Mus musculus: one gene and its partner. The protein of the gene in region 1 interacts with the protein of each later gene in a pairwise test. Links are inferred from orthologs where the notes say so. Each region holds a gene or a part of one and is shown on either strand. Other genes may lie near its edges. The genes, in order: Cyth4 and Fos.

Region 1 (11,979 bases):
TGGAGGAGGAGGAGGTAGGGCCTTGTTCAGAAAGACGAAGGTGTGGGAGTGTGAGGAGAGCTGAGAGGAACCCCAAGTGGAGGCAAAGAAGTGTGCAGAGGCCCAGAGACTGGACTGAGCAAGGTGAGGATGGATGGACCTCAAGAATGGTGTCCTGTTTCTGGAGGCCACTAATAATCACGGGAGTGATCATTTAAGAAACCGGTGAGCTCCCCAGAGCTGAGCCCAGGGTGGGTGTGATCTTATCCAAAGGATGGGTGTGACCTTGTCCAAAGGACACAAGAGGGAGGAGTCACAAGCTTGCAACCTGGTCTGCTCTGGGCCTGGCCGCTGAGCCGGTGTGGGCAATCCCTGGCAGGTTCAACCTACTTTCTATTTTTGAGGTGGGATTAAGACTGGAGCTCTGGGACCTAGGATTGAGCTGAGAGGAGCCAGGGATCTAGGACTCAGGGTGGGGGAGCTGATGCTTGGATCTTGAGGGGAGGGGGTGGTGTCTGGGGCTTTGGGGAGGAGAAGACAAAGTCTGACTGGCTTTCTGAACATTTGGTCAGGAGAGTGGGAGATTGTGTTGAGGGCTGGCTTGTGGGCATATGTAGTTTAGCCATTAGTATGAGTGTGTGTGGGTCTCAGTGTGAGAATGTGTGGGTCAGAATGGGACCAGGTATGAGTGTGTTGAGTGTGAGTGTCTGTGGGTCTATGAGTGTGAGCATATGTATGAACACACCTGGATGTCTTCCAGTAGCTGCTTCCTGTGCCATTTGATCTGCTGTAGCTCCTTGGCCTCCCCACTGCTGAGCTCAGCTGGATCTGGAGAGAGAGAGAGAGAGAGAGAGAGAGAGAGAGAGAGAGAGAGAGAGAGAGAGAAGAGGATTGCTTGGTTCTGCATCTCAGAGCCCCTCCTAGGGAGACCCCTGAAATAAAGTGAGACCCATGATGCTGGTGACCCTTGCTGGTACCACTGGAGCCTGACTGGATGCCACCACCGCTGAGAGGCATCCTTGGACGTCCCTCTCTAGAGTGGCCCCACTTCTTCATCATAATTCCTTTTACTCCCTGGAGAGAGATTTCCTGTGGCCATTGTGGGGTCACCTGGCCATACCTAGCTGCAAGGGAAGCTGGCAAATGAGCTTCACTAGGGTGATCCCTATGTTGTAAGAAGGGAAAACAGAGCCTTTCCAACTTGGGCCTGGCAGAATGGCTCCCACAAAGAAGGGTGGCAAGAAGAAGAAGGGCCACTCTGTCATCAGTGAGGTGGGGACTTGAGAATATACATTCACAAACGCATCCATGGAGTGGGCTTCAAGAAGTGTGTCCCTAGGGCACTCGAGGAAATCTGGAAATTTGCCGTAAGGGAGATGGGGAGTCCAGATGTGTGCATTGATCAGGCTTGATAATGCTGTCTGGGCCAAAGGAATAAGGAATGTTTCATATCATATCTGAGTACGTTTGTCCAGAAAACGTAATGAGAATGAGGATTCACCAAACAAGCTCTACGCATTGGTAACTTACACGCCTGTAACTACATTAAAAAATCTATAGACCACCAATGTAGATGAGAACACTAAACCTGCTGAATGTCAAATACAGTGGCAGAACTGCCAACAAAAAAAGAAAGAAGAGAAAACAGAATTTGGGGGCAGGGTTGGCACAACATCAGTCTATGCTCTAAGACACTATAACTCAGATGTGAGAAGTAAACTGGGACCTTGGATTGGACTGGCTCCCAATCCCATGCTGTCCCATTATCCTCCAAAACAAAGAGAGACCCACAATGCTGGAGCCACACCAGGACACTGCACACTCGTCCCACCTACCATACTCCAGTCAGGACCTCCACGGAGCCAGGCACAGCAGCTCATCATACTTGTAATCCTAACATTTGGGAGGTTGAGGCAGGAGGATTACAAGTTTGATGCCAGCCTAGGCTATAGGGTGAGATGCAGTCTCATCAACAACAACCAAAAGCCAAACAATCAAAAGCAAACTACAGCCAACAACGTGGGCAGCTAAGGATCTCCAAGCCATCCCAGAAAGACCACGGTGGAGACCTTGGTCAGGGCACTTGATTCACCACTTCCTGTGGTTCAGGAAGAGAGGGTGTCCTTGAGTTCCTGCTAGCAGTGACTAACTGAGACAAAGGCCAAATGAAAGGACAGTGGAAAGGTTGGGGAGCAGGGAACGCAGGTTGCGAGGAGACATGGGTGGTTCTATGGAGGATGGCAAGCAGAGATTTGCAGGGGTTATCAGCAGGCAGGCACCCAGGAGGGGCATGAAGACACGACCAGTGACCAGCTCAGCTGACTCACCAGCCTCCTACGGGGCCATCTTGGCCCTGGAACAGCAAAGGAAGTAGCCATATGGCATGAGAAGAAGCTGGAGTCCTTCCTAGGTCCCCTGACGACCACCCATCAATGTCCAACCAGCCGGATGCAGATACAGGCACTGGGCCACTGTTTCCCTTGGACTGGAACCTTTGCTCTCAAAAAGACCGGCCAGTTCTTTACTTTTATTTTTGTGTTGCTAAGGATAGAACCAGAGGCTTTGAACAGGCCTGACAGATTCCCGACCACTGCGCCCCATCCTGTCCCAGCTATTCATGTTGGCTGGAGTCCGCACAGGTTCAGATAGATACCGCTCCTCTACTCAAGGGCTTTCAATGCCATGGGACCATAGGAAGCCCAGATCCCCTTCTTAGCAAAGGTTGTGTGCAATGGGACCTGAATGTCCCCACCCTTTGTCATCATCAAGGCCTGCTAGAGAATGGAGCAGCCTTGTGTGGATGCAGAGAAGGTTCCCTGCTTGGATCACCCCTCCAGGATGCACCATGCCCCTTCCCATTGCACATGCAGCTGGGTGCGGGGCTCCTTAAGTGGAAGTGCAGGCCTGTCACCTCAGTGGGATTTTCTTTTTGTCCCTGCAGGGGTAGAGATCCTCTTCCAAGGGGGCAGAGAGGAGTGTGATGCAGGTCTCATGGAAGTCCAAACTCTTGGATACCCAAGGGACCCCGGTCATTTAGTCTCCATGATTCTTTACAGGGGTAGTTCTCAGTTTAAGACTCGGGGACTCAGGGGGTGAGGTGACATATCCCAGGTCACACAACTGGAAAGGAACAGTATGGGATTTCAGTATGGTTACTGATACAGGCTTTGCCCAGGCAAGCCAGGTGTGAGTATGTATGTGCGCATACATGCATGCATGTGTGTACGCATGCTTGTGTGTGTGTGTACATGTGTGTGCATGCATGTATCTGTGTTTGGAGAGTGAATGAGCATGTATGTCCACCCCTGTAGAGGTCAGAGGCTGACACCACGTGTCTTCTTCTCTTTGAGACAGGTTTTATCCCTGGCTGTCCTGGAACTCAGTCTGTAGACCAGGCTGGCCTCAAACCCTACCTGCCTCTGCCTCCTGAGTGCCGGAACTAAAGGCATGCACTGTCACTGACAGCATCTCTCGTGAAACCTAGACTGACTGGCTACCAAGCTGCACCTGGACCTCAGTCATCTCTGGGAATTCCCCTCTACCCAGCCTCTTCTGAGCTCTAGGAATGCACCCCAATCCCAGGCACCTGACAGCACCTCCCTCTAGCCTCTGGGCACCGCCATCGCCAGGTCTTGTCACTTTTCCTTCCGTGTCCACGCTCCCCACTGACATCCGACCACCTTGAGGGAGGTGGAAGCTGGGTTTCCCAATGCCACTCCGCCTCCCTCTGTGTGCTGGCCCTGAGTGCTCTCAGTGCCCCTCCCTCTTGACTGAGGACCCACTGTGTGCACTGCTCCTCCCGTCTCTCAATCCCCCATACTCTGAAGAGGGGATTTCTAACTCCCTGCTATAGGTGATACTCTTGGGGTTCAGAGAGGTTAAATGGCCTCTCTCAGCCAACATAGCTGGTTGCGGTGGAGCTGGGGTAGCGCTCTACCTACCTGGGGCCAGAGCCTACAACCCTCCTAGAGCCTTGTGAAATCCACACGCCTGGGCAATCTGACCCTATGCCAACCACAACGGTGTGAAAGCGGTCACCTTCACCCCTACCTAGTCTGCCCTCTGTGTCCCAGTCTCAGGCCAGTGAGTGCCCAGTGCCCACTGCCCGGCAGCTGCCACCTCAGCTCCTCACCACTTCCCTCTCACCCTTCCTCTTTCCCATCTTATTTTTGGTGCCTGCAGCTTGGCTTCCAGGCCAGCTGGCCCCAGTTCCCCTTTCCTGGTGAAGGGGGTACCAGTGGGCGTACAGGGACGGGGCTCCTGAGGGGTGGTTAGGTAGAAGGGGAGGGAGCTTCCTCTCCCTGCCAGTGCGCTCTAGTGTTAGCCTGTCTGCCCTCATGCCTTCACCAGGCAGGGCTCACCTTGTTGCAGGCCCTGGGGGAAGGAAGGGTCTTAACCTGCTTCCCTGTAATGCAGGTTCATGGCGGAGCCAGAAGCAGCTTGGGAGAGCCTTTGCCACCATCCCCTTCCATAAACATCACAAAGGAGCCCGTGCCTCCTGCAGAAGAGACCCAGCCCTGGCACCTGCAGGGCAGATGCCCACATTCTCAGAGGCAGGCCAGGAAGACAAAGGACCAGCCGTTCACAGACAATGAATCTGAGGAGAGCCCCGGCCTCCATGGGCTTCTGTGGGACCTGGGTAACAGAAAGATTCCCCCTTCCCTGATGCCTCCCCCAGGAAGTCCCCAGTCCCCTTTCTCATTCTTCTCATTTGTGGGTATGGCCAGGCGGGGATCAGAGTCCTCTGTCCCTCCACTCAGCACCCTGGAATGTCAACCAGCTCCCCTTTGGCCATTTTGAAGCATGCCACGGGGCCGTTTGTAAAATGGATGAATAAATAATGAACAAACAGAATGATGGAGCAGTCCGTGGAGACCCTTTGCCTGGTCTCCCTTTGCCTTCTTGTTGGCCTTGAACCTCAGCCTAGTCCCTGTGTCTTTGTGGAACTTAACTCAACCGCCCCCCCCCCCCCCCACACACACAACACCCAAAGAGACAAGGGAGAGGTTATATTAAGGAGATCTTTGGTGGCCAGAGCCACAGCCTCTTCTTATATTATGTCCTGTCAAAGCCCCCTGTATCCCGACCATAAATAAATGGCTGTTGAAAGAGTCTGAGGGAGCCAGGTGCAGTGGTGGTGCACACCTTTAATCCCAGCACTTGGGAGGCAGAGGCAGGCAGGTCTCTGTGAGTTTGAGGCCAACCTGGTCTACAGAGCTAGTTCCAGGACAGTCAAGGCTACATGGAGAAACACTGTCTCCAAAAATCTAAAAATAAAGGGGGTGGGGATAAGAAAGAGAGAGAGAGAGAGAGAGAGAGAGAGAGAGAGAGAGAGAGAGAGAGAGAGAACAAACAAAAGAAAGGAAGGAAGGAAGAACCTGATCGGTTTCTGGAATACAGAACAAGGCATAGCATCTGGAGAATACCCAGCACCAGTGAGCAGGGCTCAGCACCAGTGGGCGGGGCTCAGCACCAGTGGGCGGGGCTCAGCACCAGTGGGCGGGGCCCAGTGCTGGTGGGTGGGGCCTGGCTGTTAAGGGTTAGGTATCATTTGGAGAATCTGTCACTCTGAACCAGTCATATAGACCTGGGGATCCAGACAGCCAGCAGCTGCAGTCCCTCAGAGCCCAGAACTCCAAGAGAACTCTCTGAGGGTACAGGGACATGGCTCCACCCACAGCCCTGCTCTCTGCTCCCTGAGAACCACACCAGCCTGTCCCTCCCATTTCCTTTTTCTCTGTCCCTCAGACCCACCGCCCTGGTTACTGAGTGAACAGGGCCTACTGTGCCAGGGCCTCATTGAATGAATGTTACTCCTTCAGGCAGTGTCCCCAGCCTCCATCAAACGTCACCAGACCCCAGGAGCTAAGAAGACTCTGTAGGGCCCTCACAGGGTCTAGGCAGGTGTCACCACCAACAATATCCACCTTCATCAGAAGTCATTCTTCCCAGGTCCCTTATGGGGGGCCTTCCCTCCTGAAAACTCTTCCTTGGAACTCCCAAGAACTCTGCTGAGCCGCGTCGGCCTGAGCACTCCCAATTCCTTCTTCCCTCGTCCTTGATCTCCTGTTTTATCTATCTTTTATCTCGTTTGTCATCATCCACCTCATAGTGCAGAGCCCAGGAGGTAAGCAACCACTCAGATGCCTGTGGGACCCCGAGGCCTGGAGTCTAGCCCGGTGCCTACCTCTGCACATGGAGTTTGAGGTTTTCTTTCCTGGCCTTCTGGGCACGGCTGCCCTTGATTCCCTGTTCTGCCGGAGGAAAGGACTGAGGCCCGTGGCTGGGACCTATCGCTTACCTGTGTGACACACATCCATTCTGAAGCCCAGGGGAAAGGTGGCCCAGCTGCTTGCCTTGCCAGCTCAGCTGCTGCTCTGGTGGGTAGCCAAGAGGACCAGTCATGGCCCCTTCCTGCCTGCCCCGCCCAGACCCTGTGGGAGGAAGTCAGCCCTGGCCACAGGGGTCTGTGCGCAGGCTCCTGACACAGAGCGCACTTCCTAAAGGCAGTTGAGTTTCACCAGTTAGCTCAGACCCTGGCATCTGAGTACTTGGAAAGTGGGGAAGCAGAAGGAAGACAGAGCTAGGGCAGGGGAGTGGGGGTGGGTGGATAAAGACAAACAGACAGACAGACAGACAGGTGGATTATGGGCCCCCACAAGCTCAGTCACAGGGGAAGAAGGTCCTAACGATGGACCTTCTCTGGGGGGCGCGGGTCTTTACCCAGCAACCTCTTTAAATATAAGCCAAAAGATTTCCCAGCTTCTAGGGTCCTCTCTGAACTCCCCTGAATCAAATCTCATTGGAGAAAAGACAAGTCATTCAGGGATGGGGGAGGGGCTTTGCTTTTTTTTTTTTTTTTAAAGAAATGCCCCCCCCCCCCCCCACGTCTCACAAAGTGTCTAATTTCCCTCTCTCCCCGGGCCGCTAGGAAACTCACCATCAAATCTGTACAATCCTTCCATGTGACTTTGTGGCCAGATCCAGTTGTTTGACCCTCAGCATCTCCACTCAGGCAGGTGTCACCACCAACAGGGTGCATGTGACTTCGGGCTAGTCAACCTATTACACCGAGTCTCATTTGGCTTGCGTCCGAAGAGAGTATGCACACTCAACCTTGGGAATGTAGAAAGAGCAGTGTAAGATTCTTGGAATGTAGTAGGTGTTCAAAAAATGATTTTCCTTTAGGCTTTAACTGCCCCCCCCCCAGCTGCCCCATTGTTGACTGCTTTGTTTCTCAGGCCTTTTCTGGTGAGTTGGTTCAGATCCTGCAGAGAAAAAGGGATGGCTGACAGAAACTTCAGTCAGAGGAGCGCTTACTCTTTGGAATTCAGGGCACATCCTGGCTCACTGATCTGTTTCCAATCTATTTAGAAGTCCAGTGAGGGCAAGGTCACATTTGTGTCCTAGTCTCTCGTAAAATGTGAGGAGAAAGGAGTGTTCAAGTGAGGATGAACTAATGAATGAGTGAATGAATGAATACACCCAGGGAAGATAGGCATGTAGTTCCTTCCTTGAGTGATGCAGACATTTCCGGCCTGGAGGTATAGGCCTGTCATCCTGGCTTCTTGGGAGACTGAGGCAGGAGGATTAAAAATTCAAGCCTGATCCAGTGAAAACCTGTCTTAAAATAAGAAACAAGAAGAGGGTTGGGGACATAGCTCATGGGTAGAGAGCTTGTCTAGCATAGCCAAGGCCCTGCACATGCACACGCACACACAGAAGTGGGGTGTGCCCCCCCCCCCACCGCCTGGAGTCTGAGCTCAACCCTGTGTCTTTGACCCAAAGTCTAGCTGAGAGAGTGGTGCAGTTTTATGTATCAACAACAGGGGGCGCCCTGGAGGCCTGGATTAATCTGGTTTACGGAATGGAGCAGGCTGGCCTCTGCAGCATTCTGGCTTTCCAGATGCCCTGTGTCTCCCACTTCTGTCCTTTCTCATCCAAGTTTGGCCACAGGACTTGCTAAGAAACAGGATCCTCCACAGGCAGCAGGAAGGTGGGAGCTAGTGCTTGCGGGTGGGGTGGGCTACAGCAGGGACAGAGAACTGGGGGAAAAGGTCCCCATTGCCACATCGAAATTCACCCTTAGGAATTTCTCCCGCCCCTGAGACCCCTCCCAGGATTACTGGTCATTAGCTAATGTGGGCAGCATCTGACCGCAATGGCGATCAGTTTACATTATGTAGGAGGAGCCAGTGCCTGTCATTAAAGGGACCATGACTTGGGTGATCATCAGGGTGGTTAGTGTAAATTGTCAACTTGACAGAGTCTAGAGCCCCCTGGGAGACAGGCCTCTGGACATGTCTGTGGGGGTCATCTTAGTTTTTGTTAATCAGGAAGGGGAGACCTGCCCACTGTGGGTGGCGCCATTCCCTGGCTGGCTTCCTGGACTGCATAAACAGAGACAGGAAGCTGAGCAGCAGCAGTGTGCTCATCTATCTTCCTCAGCTTCCTGACTGTGGGTGGAATTTCACTGGCTGCTTCAATCTGCTGCCTTGCCTCTTCTGTCATGGCGGACTGTACCTTTGAGCTCTGAGAAGAATAGAAACTAAGTTGCTTTTGTCAGAATATAATGTCATAGCAACAGGGAAAACAAACAAACACTAAGACAGCAACTAGGACAATGATGGCAAACCACAGTTCAGATGGCTTCCCTGCCCTGATAGTAAATATGTAACTCCTCCTGAAGGAGGGACTGATTGGCTCAGTCCTAGAGCGTCAGGACTGGGTTTGGACTGGGGCTATAGATGCCAGAAAGAAGACCTGAGCATCGCGCCTACACCTGTAGTGCTAGCATTTGGGAGGTGGAAGCAAGAGGAATTAGGAGTTCAAAGTCATTCTTGGCTATATTGGTGAGTTAGAGGCCAGCCTGGGCTACATGACACCCTATCTCAAAAACTGAAAAGACAAGGGGAGGAGAGCAAGGAGAGTGGCCATGAAGAAGCCACAGGCATCTCATTGCTACTGTGTCACCAAGGAGGATCTGGGGAGGAGGGCTAGCTTTCATGGGCAGGCAGAGAACCACCGTGGGATCACAATGCTGGAAACTGAGGTCCTGTCTGGAAGTCTTCTCTGGTCCCATTTTACAGACCCAGAGAGTGAGGTTTACAGACCTTCCTGCTGAGATCCAACCTCCAACTGTTGTTCTCTGTGGAGACACCTGTCTGGACATGGGGTCTTCTAAGTGACACTTGTCAGCTGGGGTGGCAGGCTGCCATGGAAAACCAGATGGTAGAGCCTTCAGAAATCGTGCTCCTCACACGTGCACCCACCCCTGCTGCTCTTGTGGCGTTTGTGGGTTCATGCCTTCGGTGTCTGTTGCACCCAAGAGCCCTGGAGAAGCAAGGGCTGCCTAGCTGCCTATCCTAGACTCAGGGCCTGGGTTCAGGCCACCACCCTGTCTCAGGGCAGTGCTGGGTCTCTAGGACCTGGGCTTCAAAATCTGGGTCTGCAGAGGCTGCACACACCGGATCTGTGGGGTCCGAGGACAGTATGGGGTTAGAGCGTGCTCAAGACTTTTCTTCCCTTCAGGTGTGTCAGGCTCAGAGATGAAGGGACCTTTGCCTTTGAAAGACTTAAATATGAGGACTGGGGAGACATCTCAGTTAGTGAAGTACTTTTTATAAGAGCAGGAGGACCCACATTCAGCCTCATGGGTTTTGTTACTTTTCTGTTGCTGTTACAAAATTCCATGACCAGGGCAACTTAATGAAGAAAGTATCTAACTGGGCTCACAGTACCAGTCCATCACCACTGTAGTGGGGAACACAGCAGCAGGGAGGTAGGCATGGCTCTGGAGCAGCTGAGCTCACATCTTGATCCACAAGTAGCAAGGCGGGGGGGGGGGGGGGGGGAGAGAGAGAGGGAGGGAGGGAGAGAGGAGAGAGAGAGACAGAGAGAGAGCGACAGAGAGAGAGCAACAGAGAGAGAGAGAGAGAGAGAGAGAGAGAGAGAGAGAGAGAGAGAGAGAGAGAGAAGTGGAGAGAGATTGAGGAAAATACCCTGGCCTTCACTTGTGTGTGTGTGTGCTGTCCTCAGAGCCCACAGATCCAGTGTGCAATATCACACACACACACACTAAATAGGGGCTCACAAAATGGCTCAGTGCAAGCCCGATGACCTGGACTCAGTCCTAGGAACCCACAAGGTGGAGAGAGAGCGAACAGAAGTCACAGTGTCATCCTCCGACCTTGGCATGGGTGAGGGCCCATTCCTCCCTCCCCACCACAAGCAATACTAAACATAAGAAAAAAGAAAGATGAAGTGTCACATAGTTCCCTAGAGGAGGACCGCCAGAACCATGCAAGGGAAGGCCTTGGGACAGAGGGCTCAAGTAGGGAGATGTCACTGGGCCTGGGCTATGGGGAGAGGGGTCACTGTGTCTGGCTCAGGCCTAGGCTGTCAGAGCAGAAGAATGGCAGGCTTGAGCGGGGCCCCGGGGTCCCACTGCACGTGGGAATTGATGCCAGAGCTCCTTCTAGGGAGATAGAAACGTCCACCCCCTTCTCCTATAGACCCACAGGTAGCCCAAAGTAGGGTCCCCCTGAAGTTCACCCTGGAGAACTAGTGAGTTTCTTGGGTGAACTTAGAGAGCCAGGGTGTGGGGCTGTCTGCAGGAACAGGGGTGACCCAAAGCAACTGCATTGAAAGTCTTCATCCAGCGTGGATAATGGCGGCCTCGTAGCTGGAATCCCCTCTACCTCCTCATTCTATACTCTTCTAGCACCTCCCCAGCCCCCCAGGGGCCATGTGTGATCAGGCCACGATTATCCACAAGTGGTTGGGAAGAGGGGCAGGAGCCTCAGGCGAGAGGAGGTTGTCCATCCCCACTCCTCTGAAGAAATGCCTGTTAACCAGTTCTGCGCGGTGGTCTGTTGTTAGCAGATATGGCTGATGGGAAAAGGAGGGCGGCTGTACCGCTTGGTACAGCTGTATGTGGAGGCGGCAGGCACGTGGCGGCTGTGAGCTACAGTGTCAGCCGCAGCTCATGAAATGCTGAGAACCTTCCAGTCTCCACCCTCGGTGTCCCTGCTCTGAGCCTTTGTGACCCTCCAGGCCCAGCATCCTTCTCTCTAAAATGAGGCACAGCAGTGTCTCATCGAAGCTCCGGGGTGGGGGTGGGGCAATGGCGGCAATAACATGACGCTGGTCACTACTGTGCCTTCCTTGGCTCCCGGGCACTTAATCCCTGGGCACAGGTAGGGTCTTGCTTGCTTTTGTTGAGATTTAGGAAAGATGCTCAGGGCAGATGACTCCCCGAAGCTGCAGCCATATCCCATGAGGCTCTCATGAAGGTATGTTTCTCCCCCATGAGTGATCTGGAGCCCTTTCACACCTGTGCTCGGGTGGATGGAACCCAAGCTCCCTCCTGTTTCTGTGGTGATGTCAGCATATCCTGTGGGCTGTAGCCTTCAGCAATGAATGGGTCTGACATCACCGGGAGCCTCCCACCCCAGAACTTTTCTCTAGCATGCTGTCAGGAAAATCTGCCTCACCAGGGCTCCAGCAGGCTTCTCCTTTTGCAGAGTGGAGAACTGAGTCACTTGCTCTGTTTCCCTTTTTGCCTTAGCTGCCAGGAAGCTCAGGCAAATCTGGGTCAGCCTCAGCACCCCCAGAGTTTGGCACATCACCTTTCCTGTGGCTAGCTTCTGCGCATGTGGTGGGAGTGGTCATTGGGAGGCGGAGTCTCAGTATGCAAAGAAGGGAAAGAGGAGAAAAAACAGGCTAGATGTAGAAAGGTGACCGCAGTTAAGTGGGGCCAGACCAGAAGTTCGAGGCATCAACATGCTGTGCGTTTCTCTCCCTTTCCCCAGGCCCTCTGCTCGAACAACACGTATCTGTGAAATTGGAGTTGGGTAGGGGTGGGGTGGGTATCCAGTTTCCTCAAGGGAAAGATGGGAAAGAGAGAGAGGCTGCTCCCCTCCCCCAAGATCATCTAAGAGGGCTCAGATCTGCAGAAGGTTCTCGCGGGGAAGAATGGGGGTGCCAGGGACTCGGAGG
Region 2 (11,925 bases), on another chromosome or scaffold:
CATCCAGTGTCATGTTTTCCTGATTGTCCTTCAGTTTCAAAGCAAACAATTTTAGAGAAATCTCCCATTTTAAAGAACACACTAGGAAGGTAACATATAATAAAAATACTAAACGTGTTCACCACAATGCATTTGCCAGGAAGCATGACAAAATGTTACATCGCTTCACAAGAATGTGTAAACACACACCAGCACACAGGTGCTCAGACACAGTGACAGAGCTAACTGAAGAGACTCAAGTTCAGTTTGCCTTTCACAGTCACTGTGTTATATCAGTTGGCTTTTGCCTGTTTTTTTTTTTTTCCAGAAAGGGTTTGAACCATTCATGCTGATCTCAAACTAGCTCTACAGCCAAAGGTAGCCTTGAACTACCTTTCAGAGGTGACCTTCCTATACCCACTCCTCAATTTGGGGGTTACGGGTATGGGACACCATAACTAGATACTTTCTGTCAAATCTGTTTGGGGGATAGGGCACATGGTAGCACTCAGGAGGTAGAGGCAGTAGGATCTCTATAGTTCAAGGCCAGTCTGGTCTGCTACCAATTTCCAGACCAGCCAAGATTAAATGATAAGACCCTTTGTCAACAAACAAACAAAATTGGTTTAAAGGGGCCAGCAAGATAGTTCAGCTGGGGGCTCAATGGTCAAGAACACACTGCTCTTCTGAAGGTCCTGAGTTCAAGTCCCAGCATCCACATGACAGCTCAGGCTTGTCTGATGCCACCTTCTGCTGGGCAGATGGACATGCAGACAAAGTACCTATATACGTAAATAATACATCTTTATTTTTTTTTAGGATGATGACTGCTCAGCCAGTAAAGCTCTTGTAGATCAATGCTGGTGACTTGAGTTTGGTCCCTTAGAAGCCATGTAGAAATGGAAAAAGAAGACTGACTCCCAAAAGTTGCCCTCCATATCACCATGACACAAGTGTGTGTGCGCACACACACACACACACACATACACACACACAAAATAAAAATAAATAAATAGATAAATAAATAAATAAATAAATGGGAAATACAGAGATCTGCCTGTTTCAGCCACAAGAATGCATGTATTTGCCTGCTTGTTTATTGACATTGTGTGTATGGAGCAGTCAGAGGACGAGCCGTACAGTTACTTTTTCCTCTCTATCCTGTGGGTCTTTGGGATGGATCTCAGGTTGTCAGGTTTGGCAGCAGCACTTTGCTTGCTGTGCTCTCTCTCCAGCTCCGGCTTAAGAGATACTTTAATCCCACCACCCCTGATGGGCATAAAGATCATCTCAGAGGAGCAGATCATATACCTAGAGTCAAATTCTAATGATCCGGTAATGTGGTTAAGCAATTGGGGCTCTTTAGATTCACAAAGTGTGTATTCAAATCTCAGGTCTGCTACTTATCAGCTGTGGGCCCTTGGCCAAGACACTTACTGTTTCCTGGGCCATGCTCCATTCCTATGAAATGAAGGCACTAACAGCTGTCTCGTTGAACTGTTGTGTTGACAAGACCAAATGAGGCAACCATTTGACAACATGATAATGATTGTGTGCCTATCAAGTGCCAGTTGTGAGAGGCACACTGATTAGTAGAGCAATCCCTGACCCTGAACTTCCTCTACAGTATAGAGCAGATCCTGGCACGAACAGGTTCATGTGAAACCTTACCCCAGGGCCACAGGTTCTGTGCCAACCTTGTGCTCTGAATAAACCCCATCAACTCTTTCCATTTTCTACTAGGTTACTGGGACTAACCTCCATCTCCCCCTAGATGGATCCTCTAGGCATTGCAAGCTAACATGTTCCACACGAAGCTAATCCACATCCCCGAAACCCATGCTTCTTTCTATGGACACCAAGTCCCTGGGGGAGCCATAAGCCTCACTGTGTGTCAAGCTCGGTAAACCTAGCAATGGGCATAGATTCCTCCCTCTCCATCAAAACCCACATCTACCCTGTCACCAAGCCTGGGACGTCTTCCTCCTAATTACCACTTGTTCCTCTCCATTCCTGCCACCACTGCTGTAACTAAGTCTTCAAACAGACTGATCTAAATTAAATACCAGGCTCGGAGCAATCTGGCCACAGTTATCTATTCTTGCCCTACCTTTAACTTCCTTCACTTTTGATGCTTCGATATTGATGTAAATGTTAGATTCCCCACCCTCCCCTCTGCTTACCTCCAACTGGTTATCCTATATAATGCAATCCCTATGTGCTTCTCTGACTGACCGTCATCTCCCAAAAGGCATAATAACAGCCAACTATTCTACCATATTTTTCACACTTAGGAGCTGTAATACTGATTTGCTTCTCTGAGTGCCCATAGCAGTCTCAATAGCCACCCACAATTACCATCTCCATTTTACCACTGAGGAAGCTGAGTACAGACTGCTTGATTTGCCTAAGGTCGAGGAGCCAGGATTCAGAACTAAGTCTATATTCTGGAACACTTTGCAATATTGGATCCAGACTACGTTATCACATTGTCTTGATAAATTTACCTGTCATATGATCGGTTAACCCAGTTAATTTCTCCCCTAAATAAACATGGCAAGTAGACCCTGGGCCACTAACAGTCAGGATAAAGTTGCTTTTTGTCCCAGGCCTTTTAAACTAGGTCCTTTCCACACAGGCCTCCTGCTAATATTTGTTCATTTCATAGTGTTATGGAGCCAACCCAGGGCCTCACACAGGCTAGCAAGCCCAATACCACTACATCCCTGTAGCCTCTGGGCCTGGTTCTAGAACAAAGAGTTTCTAACATAACCAACAATTAGACACCTGTGGGTCCCCAGACTTCTAATCATTTGCTTTAACCAAACCCAAACACCAGGGCTGAAAGTTAGGGATTGTGGGGGAAAGCTAATGACCAGACTAGGCAGCCTGCTTGGGACAGTAGCCAGAACACTTTCTACTTTCGTCCTCTTGAGTAACAGGACAATGTGTTTTGGACAAAGGAAATGCATTTCAGCTTAGTCCATGAGTGGGTCTGTGGAACCATTGAAATGGATTGTATTGCAACTAAACTGGTTTAGATTTCTGTTGCTTTTTCCTGCTTGCAAAGACAAGGGAAACCTACCCAACTGGCTCCTTCCAGAGACCAAAGTCATTCACCAGCATCTAGTACATCTTATCTACAGCAGGTGTGGACCTTCTCTTGGCTAACGATAGTGATATGGATAATGGGAACTAGGTAACCCTTACTCTTCCTTCCATTCTAATGCAGACTAAATTAAAGGTTGCACACTGAATGAACTCAAAACAGACTTGTATTAGACTCTGAGTGTTTTGTACCAAGGTGAATACATTTTGATTATTTGTTTGTCTTGTTTAAAAACAAAGCAAAAACAAACAAAACAGGGTCTTACTCTGTAGCCCAGGCTGGCTTAGAATTCACTCTGTAGACTATGCTATCCTCAAATTCATGGCAACGTTCTTGCTTTAGTCTCCCCAGTGTTGGAACTGTAGGTGTGAATAGCCATCCTTAGAGCAACATGAATTTCTTTAAAACGAGTGTGGGTGCACAAATGTCAGGGGTCAGAGGACAACTCTGTGGCATCGATTCTTTCCTTCCACCTTCACAGGATCTCCAGGGATGGACTCGGGTCATCAGGCTCCCTCGTCTACTGAGACGTCTGGAGAGCTTGCCGTTTGTTGTTGCTTACATTTTATTTATTTTACTTTTCACTTAGATGTATGTGTATGCATGAGTGAGTGATGGAGCCCACCAAAGCCAGGGATGTTGGCTCTCCCTCCCCCATAGCAGGAGTGGTAGGCAGTTATAAGCCACTCATCATGGATTCTAGGAACTGAATTTGGGTCCTCTGGAGGAATGGCAGGTGCTAACAGCTGAGCTACCTCTCCAGCCTGGAGTTTGTATTTAATAAAGGGCCATGGTCTTCTACCCTTGGAGACATCTTTGAGGTTAATATTCCCTTCTAAGGTCTGGCTCTCTTACGACACTTTCATAATTGTCATCTGTGTTCATTCATTCATCTATTTGCACTCAGTCAACAACCCTGAGAGACACGGTTGTGATCAAGATACAAAAGATCATTGTTCTCATGGGACGAGACATTTATTATTTTAAGTGAAAGAAAACCAAGATTGGATGTCGCAGCTAGCGAGAAATGAATGCTATGAGATCCAATCAGGAAAACGTCATTCAGGGAGTGTGCCCAGAAGACACCCTAGATAGAGTGGCCAGGGAAGGTGTCTAGAAGGAGACTTGCTTTGAGCTGGGACCTGGATGTCTTTGCCAGTTTGGGCAAAGAGGCCCAGGTAGAGGCTTATCAGCACAATACAAACAAACAAACAAACAAACACCCTCTTCAAGGAATGAGTACTAGATGTGTGCAGAATGCAAGGGAGTCCCATGCCCTGTGTGTTTATGGGGACTTGAGGGCACCAGAAGAATCAAGGGTCAACTTCTTAATGTTAACAGAAAGCCAGCACGATTTAAAGCATGAGCACTGTTCAGCATTCAGATGTCACTCTATCCAGATGCCACTCTATCCAGATGCCACTCTATCCAGATGCCACTCTATCCAGATGCCACTCTATCCAGATGCCACTCTATCCCTTGCCCTCCGAGGGACTGCTTCAGAGGAAACGTGTGCACAGTTTAAAGGTTGCTTTTGCTTTTGTTTCTTCTTTTACTTCAGACACATTGAAACTTGGGATCATTTGCTTAAGGTAACCATCTTAGCGTTTTTACTGTGCCTGAGACTAATTAAACAGAACATGATTGGTTTAAATAGAGCACAAAGTACTCCTCTCTAGTTTTGATAATCGCATGAGCTCTAGGGGTATGCAAAGGTGTTGGGAGCCTGTTATCCACTGTTCTGCAAAGATGAGTATTTTTTCTTCTAGTATCTGAAATTAATTTCAGTCATTGCACAGTCAGTCATTCGCTTTGCTGAAATGGCAGATGGAACCCAGGGGAGGCAATGAAGGAATTCCAGGAATGAAGGACAGAAGTGGCCTGTGTGTCTGCAGCCAGAGGTAAAAGATGTAACATTCCTATTGCCTAACATCGGAAAGGGGGACTGGAACAGAAACTACAGAACATACACAGACCAGTTTCTGATCGTAGAAAGAGTTTGGAACTTATTCATTCACCCACTGAGCAAAATGTTTGTTAATCCTGTACTATAGCTCTGAACTGGGTCTTAGAGTCCATTGGCGGGTCAGGCTTGACATGGTCCCTAAGGGAAATGGTCCCTGGTCTTTAGCCCTTTCTGTTGTATGGTCAGGACTTGTATCAATGTTAGTGACGCTGAAGCCAGGCAGGTAATTGTTCCCCTGAAACTAGTTTGAGGCTTTGTCTTCTGAGAAGGGATGGAAGTGTCCCCAAAAGAAAGGTGACATTCCTAGTGCCAGTCTTCCTCAGGAATTTTTAAATCCAGAGTCCCTGGTAAGGGGGGATTTGGAAGGAGTCCTTTGGCCAGACAGGGAAGATACTCTAGACCACGGAAGTAGCTGGCAGGGAGCTCAGAAGGTGTTAGTCCTTCGGGGGAATCCCAGGAACTTGGAGAAACCTTTCAGAGATTCTGTCTTCCTAGAGTTTCAGTGTTTGCCTGTGGATGGACCATGGCCTGGGCTGTGGTGACCTGGAGAAAGGCTTTGTGTCAGACCTGTCAAAGAAAAGGGGATGCTCTTCTTCCACAGCTAGTTTACAACTGCCAGGGCCATTAGGGAGGCCCCCGGGAGTGGGGGGAGGGGCAAGCTGCTTTCCTTGCTGTTCTTTCCAATCTGGAACATTCCTCTCAGCTCATTACCACCACACATTTAAAAGAGCTCACCGAGTCCTTGTAAATGTTACATTAATTCTAAAGGTTTTTGGGTTTTGGTTTTTTTTTGTTTTTTTTTTACATTTCATTTAATTTATATAGGATCTCACAGTGTAGCCCAGAACTCAAGCCTCTCTCCTCAGCTCTGGGATTATTGGTGTACCAACAAGGCCTCTCCATAACTCAGGACTGGCCAAAGCAGTGTGTGCAAGTGGAATGTGCTGTAAAGAACGTTCTAGAGAGACTTGGGTAAATTGCTTGGAAGTGTCAATCACTGTGGTAGGAGCAGGTAGATCATAGGTTAACAGCTCACGTGTAATGGAACTGTCGTTTGAAATTGAAACACAGCTCGACAGAGTACGAGGCCCACTGTGACCACAGCGTGATTGTCATTACCACTAATGACCTGAAGGCTCCCCTTCCACCCAGCATGCGTGGAAACAGTCTATGGTTTTTAGGTACCAGAGAGCAAGGGTAGGGAGTGGCTCATTTTTCTTTCCTTTTGGTTTGCATGTAAGCAAGAGAGAGAGCAGCAGTCATTACCTGAGGTGTCCCAGGCAAAGGTCATGTTCTTCTTTGAGATGATAAACTTTCTAAGCTAAGCTCACCCGAAGTCTTCTGACCCTTCCCTACTGAGCTATTATGTAACTTCTTATTTACAGACTGGTTGATCAGCCATTATTTATGCTGCTCAAGATAATTTAAATGTCCATTCCTTTTCCCCTACTGTACTGTGAATTACACCCAAGTGTTAAAGTAGCTTCGGAAGTTGGGATTTGTTTTTCATGGTGGCACAGGATAATAGATAGCCTGCTCTCTTTGGAGAATAAAAAGGGTTGACTAAATGAACATATGTTTGAGTAAGGAACCGAATGACGGTGCATACCTGTAAAGCCAGCACTTGGGAGATATAAACAGAAAGATCAGGAATACAGGGCCAGCCTCAGCTACATAGCAAGTTTGAGGTCAGACTAGGCTAAGTTAGACCCATCTTAAAAGTAAACAAACAATTGAAAATTTGTTTGCGTGCATGTGCGCGCACTCGTGTGTGTGTGTGTGTGTGTGTGTGTGTGTGTGTGTGTGTGTTTTAACCAAGGGAAACCTTTTAAGGCTAAGGTGTGGAAGGTAGTTCAGGAGGGCTAGGAAGACGGATGAGCAGTTAAAAGCAGTTGTTAGACTTGCAGAGAGCCCAGATTTAGATTCCTGGTGCTTGCTTGGGTAGCTGCCATTGTCTCAGAACTCCAGTCCCACAGGATCCCTTGCCCTCTTCTGGCCTCTATGGACACTGCATATGCACCTGGTGCATAGACACACATGCCAGCGAAACACCCTTACACAGAAAATAGAAATAAATACATCTTTAAAGGGGGAGGGGGACTGGCAAGATTGGCTGCTTGGTGGGTCTAGGTGCCTGCTAACCTGAGTTCAATTCCCAAAGGTCGTGTTCTTGAGAAAAAGTCTGGAAGTTGTCCCATGACCTCAAGTGCATGACCTCAAGTACATGAATGCCCTCCCCACATAAATAAATACATATTTTAGTTATATATATATATGTGTGTGTATATATATATATATATATATATATATATACTTTTTTTTTAAAGAGGCAGTTCAGCCTAATAATGGACAGGAGGGGGAAGTGGCGATCTGGTTTGCAGTGTGGAAGGTCGCTTATTTCAACTCTTCTTCAGTTCACAAAACAACAACAACAAAAAAGTTTGTGTAGAGCTAGGCTCTGTTCAAAGGATTCCTTTCCCATGAAAATCACTAAGGCGAAGATAAGCATGCAGAAAAGCACATCCTTGCACAAGCTGTTACAGGCAGCCTTCAGCCCCAAGGCAGGCAATGCAATATGAACACACATCTCTGTAAAATACCCTGAACTAGCGTGTCCTCTGAGTGATAAGGGGACAGAGGGCGTGTTCCCCTCCAGGACCCACCCATCTTGACAAACTGGTCTCCTCAGAGGCCTTCCTGAAACCATACAAAACTGAGAATAAAGAGAGCAAGAAGGTGGTCGCATTCAACTTAAATGCTTTTATTGACAATGTCTTGGAACAATAAGCAAACAATGCTTAAAATTTTTCATTCAAATTCACTTTCCACATGTCGAAAGACCTCAGGGTAGAAAAAAATAAAATAAAAATATAAATATCTGAGAATCCATCTTAATAAATAAATTGAAAACACAATAAAAACGTTTTCATGGAAAACTGTTAATGTCAGAACATTCAGACCACCTCGACAATGCATGATCAGTAACATGACAATGAACATTGACGCTGAAGGACTACAGTACATGGATATAGCTATTGATTTCTATCTACTGGAAAATAAAGTCCTATCTTTTCTTAGTTTAATATTGGTCGTTTCTAATTGGAACACGCTATTGCCAGGAACACAGTAGGTATTGTTAAAATCAGCTGCACTAGATACAATCCAGCACCAGGTTAATTCCAATAATGAACCCAACAGATTAGTTAGTGCTATGAGAAAACTAAGGAGAAAGAGAAAAGAGACACAGACCAGGCCTTGACTCACATGCTCTACTAACTACCAGCTCTCAGGTGTCACTAGGAACAACACACTCCATGCGGTTTTTTGTTTTGTTTTGTTTTGTTTTTGCTACATCTCTGGAAGAGGTGAGGACTGGAGGCCAGATGTGGATGCTTGCAAGTCCTTGAGGCCCACAGCCTGGTGTGTTTCACGAACAGGTAAGGTCCTCCCTAGGTCGACGGGAACCTTCGAGGGAAGACGTGTTTCTCCTCTCTGTAATGCACCAGCTCGGGCAGTGGCACGTCTGGATGCCGGCTGCCTTGCCTTCTCTGACTGCTCACAGGGCCAGCAGCGTGGGTGAGCTCAGGGAGTCGGAGGAGGGCTCGTTGCTGCTGCTGCCCTTTCGGTGGGCAGCGGCACAGCTTGGGAAGGAGTCAGCTTCAGGGTAGGTGAAGACAAAGGAAGACGTGTAAGTAGTGCAGCCCGGAGTACAGGTGACCACGGGAGTACACAGGGGCTCCAGCTCTGTGACCATGGGCCCCATCCCCAAGGAATTGCTGTGCAGAGGCTCCCAGTCTGCTGCATAGAAGGAACCGGACAGGTCCACATCTGGCACAGAGCGGGAGGTCTCTGAGCCACTGGGCCTAGATGATGCCGGAAACAAGAAGTCATCAAAGGGTTCTGCCTTCAGCTCCACGTTGCTGATGCTCTTGACTGGCTCCAAGGATGGCTTGGGCTCAGGGTCGTTGAGAAGGGGCAGGGTGAAGGCCTCCTCAGACTCTGGGGTGGAAGCCTCAGGCAGACCTCCAGTCAAATCCAGGGAGGCCACAGACATCTCCTCTGGGAAGCCAAGGTCATCGGGGATCTTGCAGGCAGGTCGGTGGGCTGCCAAAATAAACTCCAGTTTTTCCTTCTCTTTCAGCAGATTGGCAATCTCAGTCTGCAACGCAGACTTCTCATCTTCAAGTTGATCTGTCTCCTGCATAGGGAGAGATATAAGAAAGCATAAGACACGGGCATGCTCAAGGACCCTGCGCCCATAGTCCCAAGCTCCAACTTTAATAAAGTTTCAGGAGCAGCAGCTGGTTCAACCTACCGCTTGGAGTGTATCTGTCAGCTCCCTCCTCCGATTCCGGCACTTGGCTGCAGCCATCTTATTCCGTTCCCTTCGGATTCTCCGTTTCTCTTCCTCTTCAGGAGATAGCTATAGAAGAAAAGGACCAACATTCAGTTAAGGTTGTCTAGTGTCACCTCCATTCAGTCACCCCAGTGAAACTGGCTCCTACAGCACCCGCACCTCTCGGTGAAGCAGTTTTTCTAACCTGCAGTTGGCAGGCAGAGTGTGATTTGCATTTAAAGTGAGATCTTTAGCAGGGGAACAAAGAAGCTCCCCGGCTAGAGAATGAAGTAGGAAGCTGTCAGGGAAACTGTCTAGAGTTTGTCTTGGGTCCAACTGTCAAAATCTGACAAGGGAGGGAAAGGGCTAGCAGCCACAGCTCCTGGTCAGGAAGTGCAGTCAGTAGCGTCCCTTCTCTGTTGTGTGGTCTGTGCGTCAGTCTCCGCCCCCCCCCCCCCCCCCAGCCCACAAAGGTCCAGAATCGCTGCTCACCTGCTCTACTTTGCCCCTTCTGCCGATGCTCTGCGCTCTGCCTCCTGACACGGTCTTCACCATTCCCGCTCTGGCGTAAGCCCCAGCAGACTGGGTGGGGAGTCCGTAAGGATGGGGCGCTCTGGTCTGCGATGGGGCCACGGAGGAGACCAGAGTGGGCTGCACCAGCCACTGCAGGTCTGGGCTGGTGGAGATGGCTGTCACCGTGGGGATAAAGTTGGCACTAGAGACGGACAGATCTGCGCAAAAGTCCTGAAACAAAACAAAAAGAGGAAAGCGGAGGTGAGCGAGGAGGTTCCAGACACAGGTGGAGCAAGTGGCCCTAGTGTCGCATGAAGCAGGGAGAGAGAAGCATTCCGGTCAGAGACTGCTTATGTCTTCCTGTATGCACCTCATCGGAGATAAAAGCTCTCCCAATATCCTCCCTTGAATTCCGCAGCGCAGCCTTTCTCCTCCATCCTACTGCTGCGTTCCCGTTATCCCTTCGGCATCACTCGCTCGAAAGGGGGTTTGTTATAAATATCCCTGACGTCTGCGCTGACGCAGGCGCTGCTCCGGAGTCTCCAGAATGAACTCGCTTTTTATCAATGAAACTGCCTTACACACCCGCCCGCAGCACCCTCCTCCCTCCTCCCTCCTCCCTGCTCCAGGCTGCCCCGGGAGGGGGGATTGCCGCGGTTTGCCGCCTCCCAAACTCTAGTTAGCGACTCTTTGCTCGAGACTTGTTGGCCCCGGCTGATCTCAGAAACAAGTCGGCCGAGAGAAGAATGCAGGCAGGCCACTCAGAATAAACCTGCCGCGCGGGAAGGGGTCACTAAGTCTTACTATGACAAGTGTGCACGCGCTCAGACAAGTCCTGGGTTCCCAGGCTAAGGCTGCTCTGACCGCGCCAGTCTCCCTCCAGAGCGAAAAAGGAAGACCCCCCCGCCCCTGCGAGTCACACCCCAGTGTCTCCTCCACGGCGACCCTCAGCGCGGACCTGGCGGCTACACAAAGCCAAACTCACCTGTGTGTTGACAGGAGAGCCCATGCTGGAGAAGGAGTCGGCTGGGGAATGGTAGTAGGAAAGGCTGTCCCCGGCCGGGGAGGCGCTACTGCAGCGGGAGGATGACGCCTCGTAGTCGGCGTTGAAACCCGAGAACATCATGGTCGAAGTTTGGGGAAAGCCCGGCAAGGGGTCCAGGGGTAGACACTGGTGGGAGCTGCAGAGCAGAGCTGGGTGGGAGCGCGGTCACTGCTCGTTCGCGGAACCGCCGGCTCTATCCAGTCTTCTCAGTTGCTCGCTGCAGTCGCGGTTGGAGTAGTAGGCGCCTCAGCTGGCGCCTTTATAGAAGCGCTGTGAATGGATGGACTTCCTACGTCACTGGGCGGAACTGGAAGGGGGGGGAAGCGCGCCCCAAGGCCCTCTGCGGGCGCTCTGTCGTCAACTCTACGCCCCAGGCTTTCAACCCCCGTCTTGGCATACATCTTTCACCTATGAGTGTTCACATTTGGGATCTTAGGGGGTCTCCTAGACCTTCCGCGTGTAGGATTTCGGAGATGGTCCCCCCCCCAGAACAACAGGGACCGGCCGTGGAAACCTGCTGACGCAGATGTCCTAATATGGACATCCTGTGTAAAGGAGGGAGGGATTGACGGGAACAGCTCGCCGGCTGCAGCCAACTCTGAGGGTGCAGCGCAGGGGGGGAACCGGGGCCGCGGCCGGGGGAGGGGAGGCGGGAAAGGCAGAGAAGGCGAGCGAACATTCGCACCTGATTCAATGTGGACCCGGTTCCCAGGGTCAAGGGATGAGACCCGGGTCATTGTCCAGCAATCTGGAACTTTTTTTTTTTTTTTGAGTCTCTGGTATTAGGAGAAGCAAGTACGCAGCCTTAAAGGCTCGAAGCCTCTGTTCCTAAAGGAAAGCTTGCCCACATCAGCCCCCCATCCCAAATCAGTGCAGAGAAGAAAAAGGGGGGGTCAGCTTCTCAGCCCCTCTCTCCAGCTCCTTGCCTGGAGAAACTTTAGGACTGAGGTTGGAAGCAGCAAGTGAAGGATTGTAAA

What was found.
Region 2: the proteins of Cyth4 (region 1) and Fos interact in a two-hybrid assay, tested with the Homo sapiens proteins (2 studies listed by BioGRID and IntAct). The two-hybrid records come from large-scale screens. The link is inferred for Mus musculus from reciprocal best matches to the Homo sapiens genes CYTH4 and FOS.

What each region holds. Positions count from the first base shown.
Region 1 is NC_000081.6:78,591,521-78,603,499, reverse strand, and holds the start of Cyth4 (cytohesin-4), read right to left. Parts: upstream 6,454-11,979; 5' UTR 6,300-6,453; coding exon 6,281-6,299; exon of another isoform or gene 6,177-6,280; coding exon of another isoform or gene 6,167-6,176; intron 4,935-6,166; exon of another isoform or gene 4,396-4,934; intron 3,609-4,395; exon of another isoform or gene 808-3,608; coding exon 725-807; exon of another isoform or gene 1-724. UniProt on the Homo sapiens protein: Promotes guanine-nucleotide exchange on ARF1 and ARF5. Promotes the activation of ARF factors through replacement of GDP with GTP.
Region 2 is NC_000078.6:85,473,144-85,485,068, reverse strand, and holds Fos (proto-oncogene c-Fos), read right to left. Parts: upstream 11,180-11,925; 5' UTR 11,030-11,179; coding exon 10,889-11,029; intron 10,135-10,888; coding exon 9,883-10,134; intron 9,478-9,882; coding exon 9,370-9,477; intron 9,253-9,369; coding exon 8,611-9,252; 3' UTR 7,795-8,610; downstream 1-7,794. UniProt on the Homo sapiens protein: Nuclear phosphoprotein which forms a tight but non-covalently linked complex with the JUN/AP-1 transcription factor. In the heterodimer, FOS and JUN/AP-1 basic regions each seems to interact with symmetrical DNA half sites.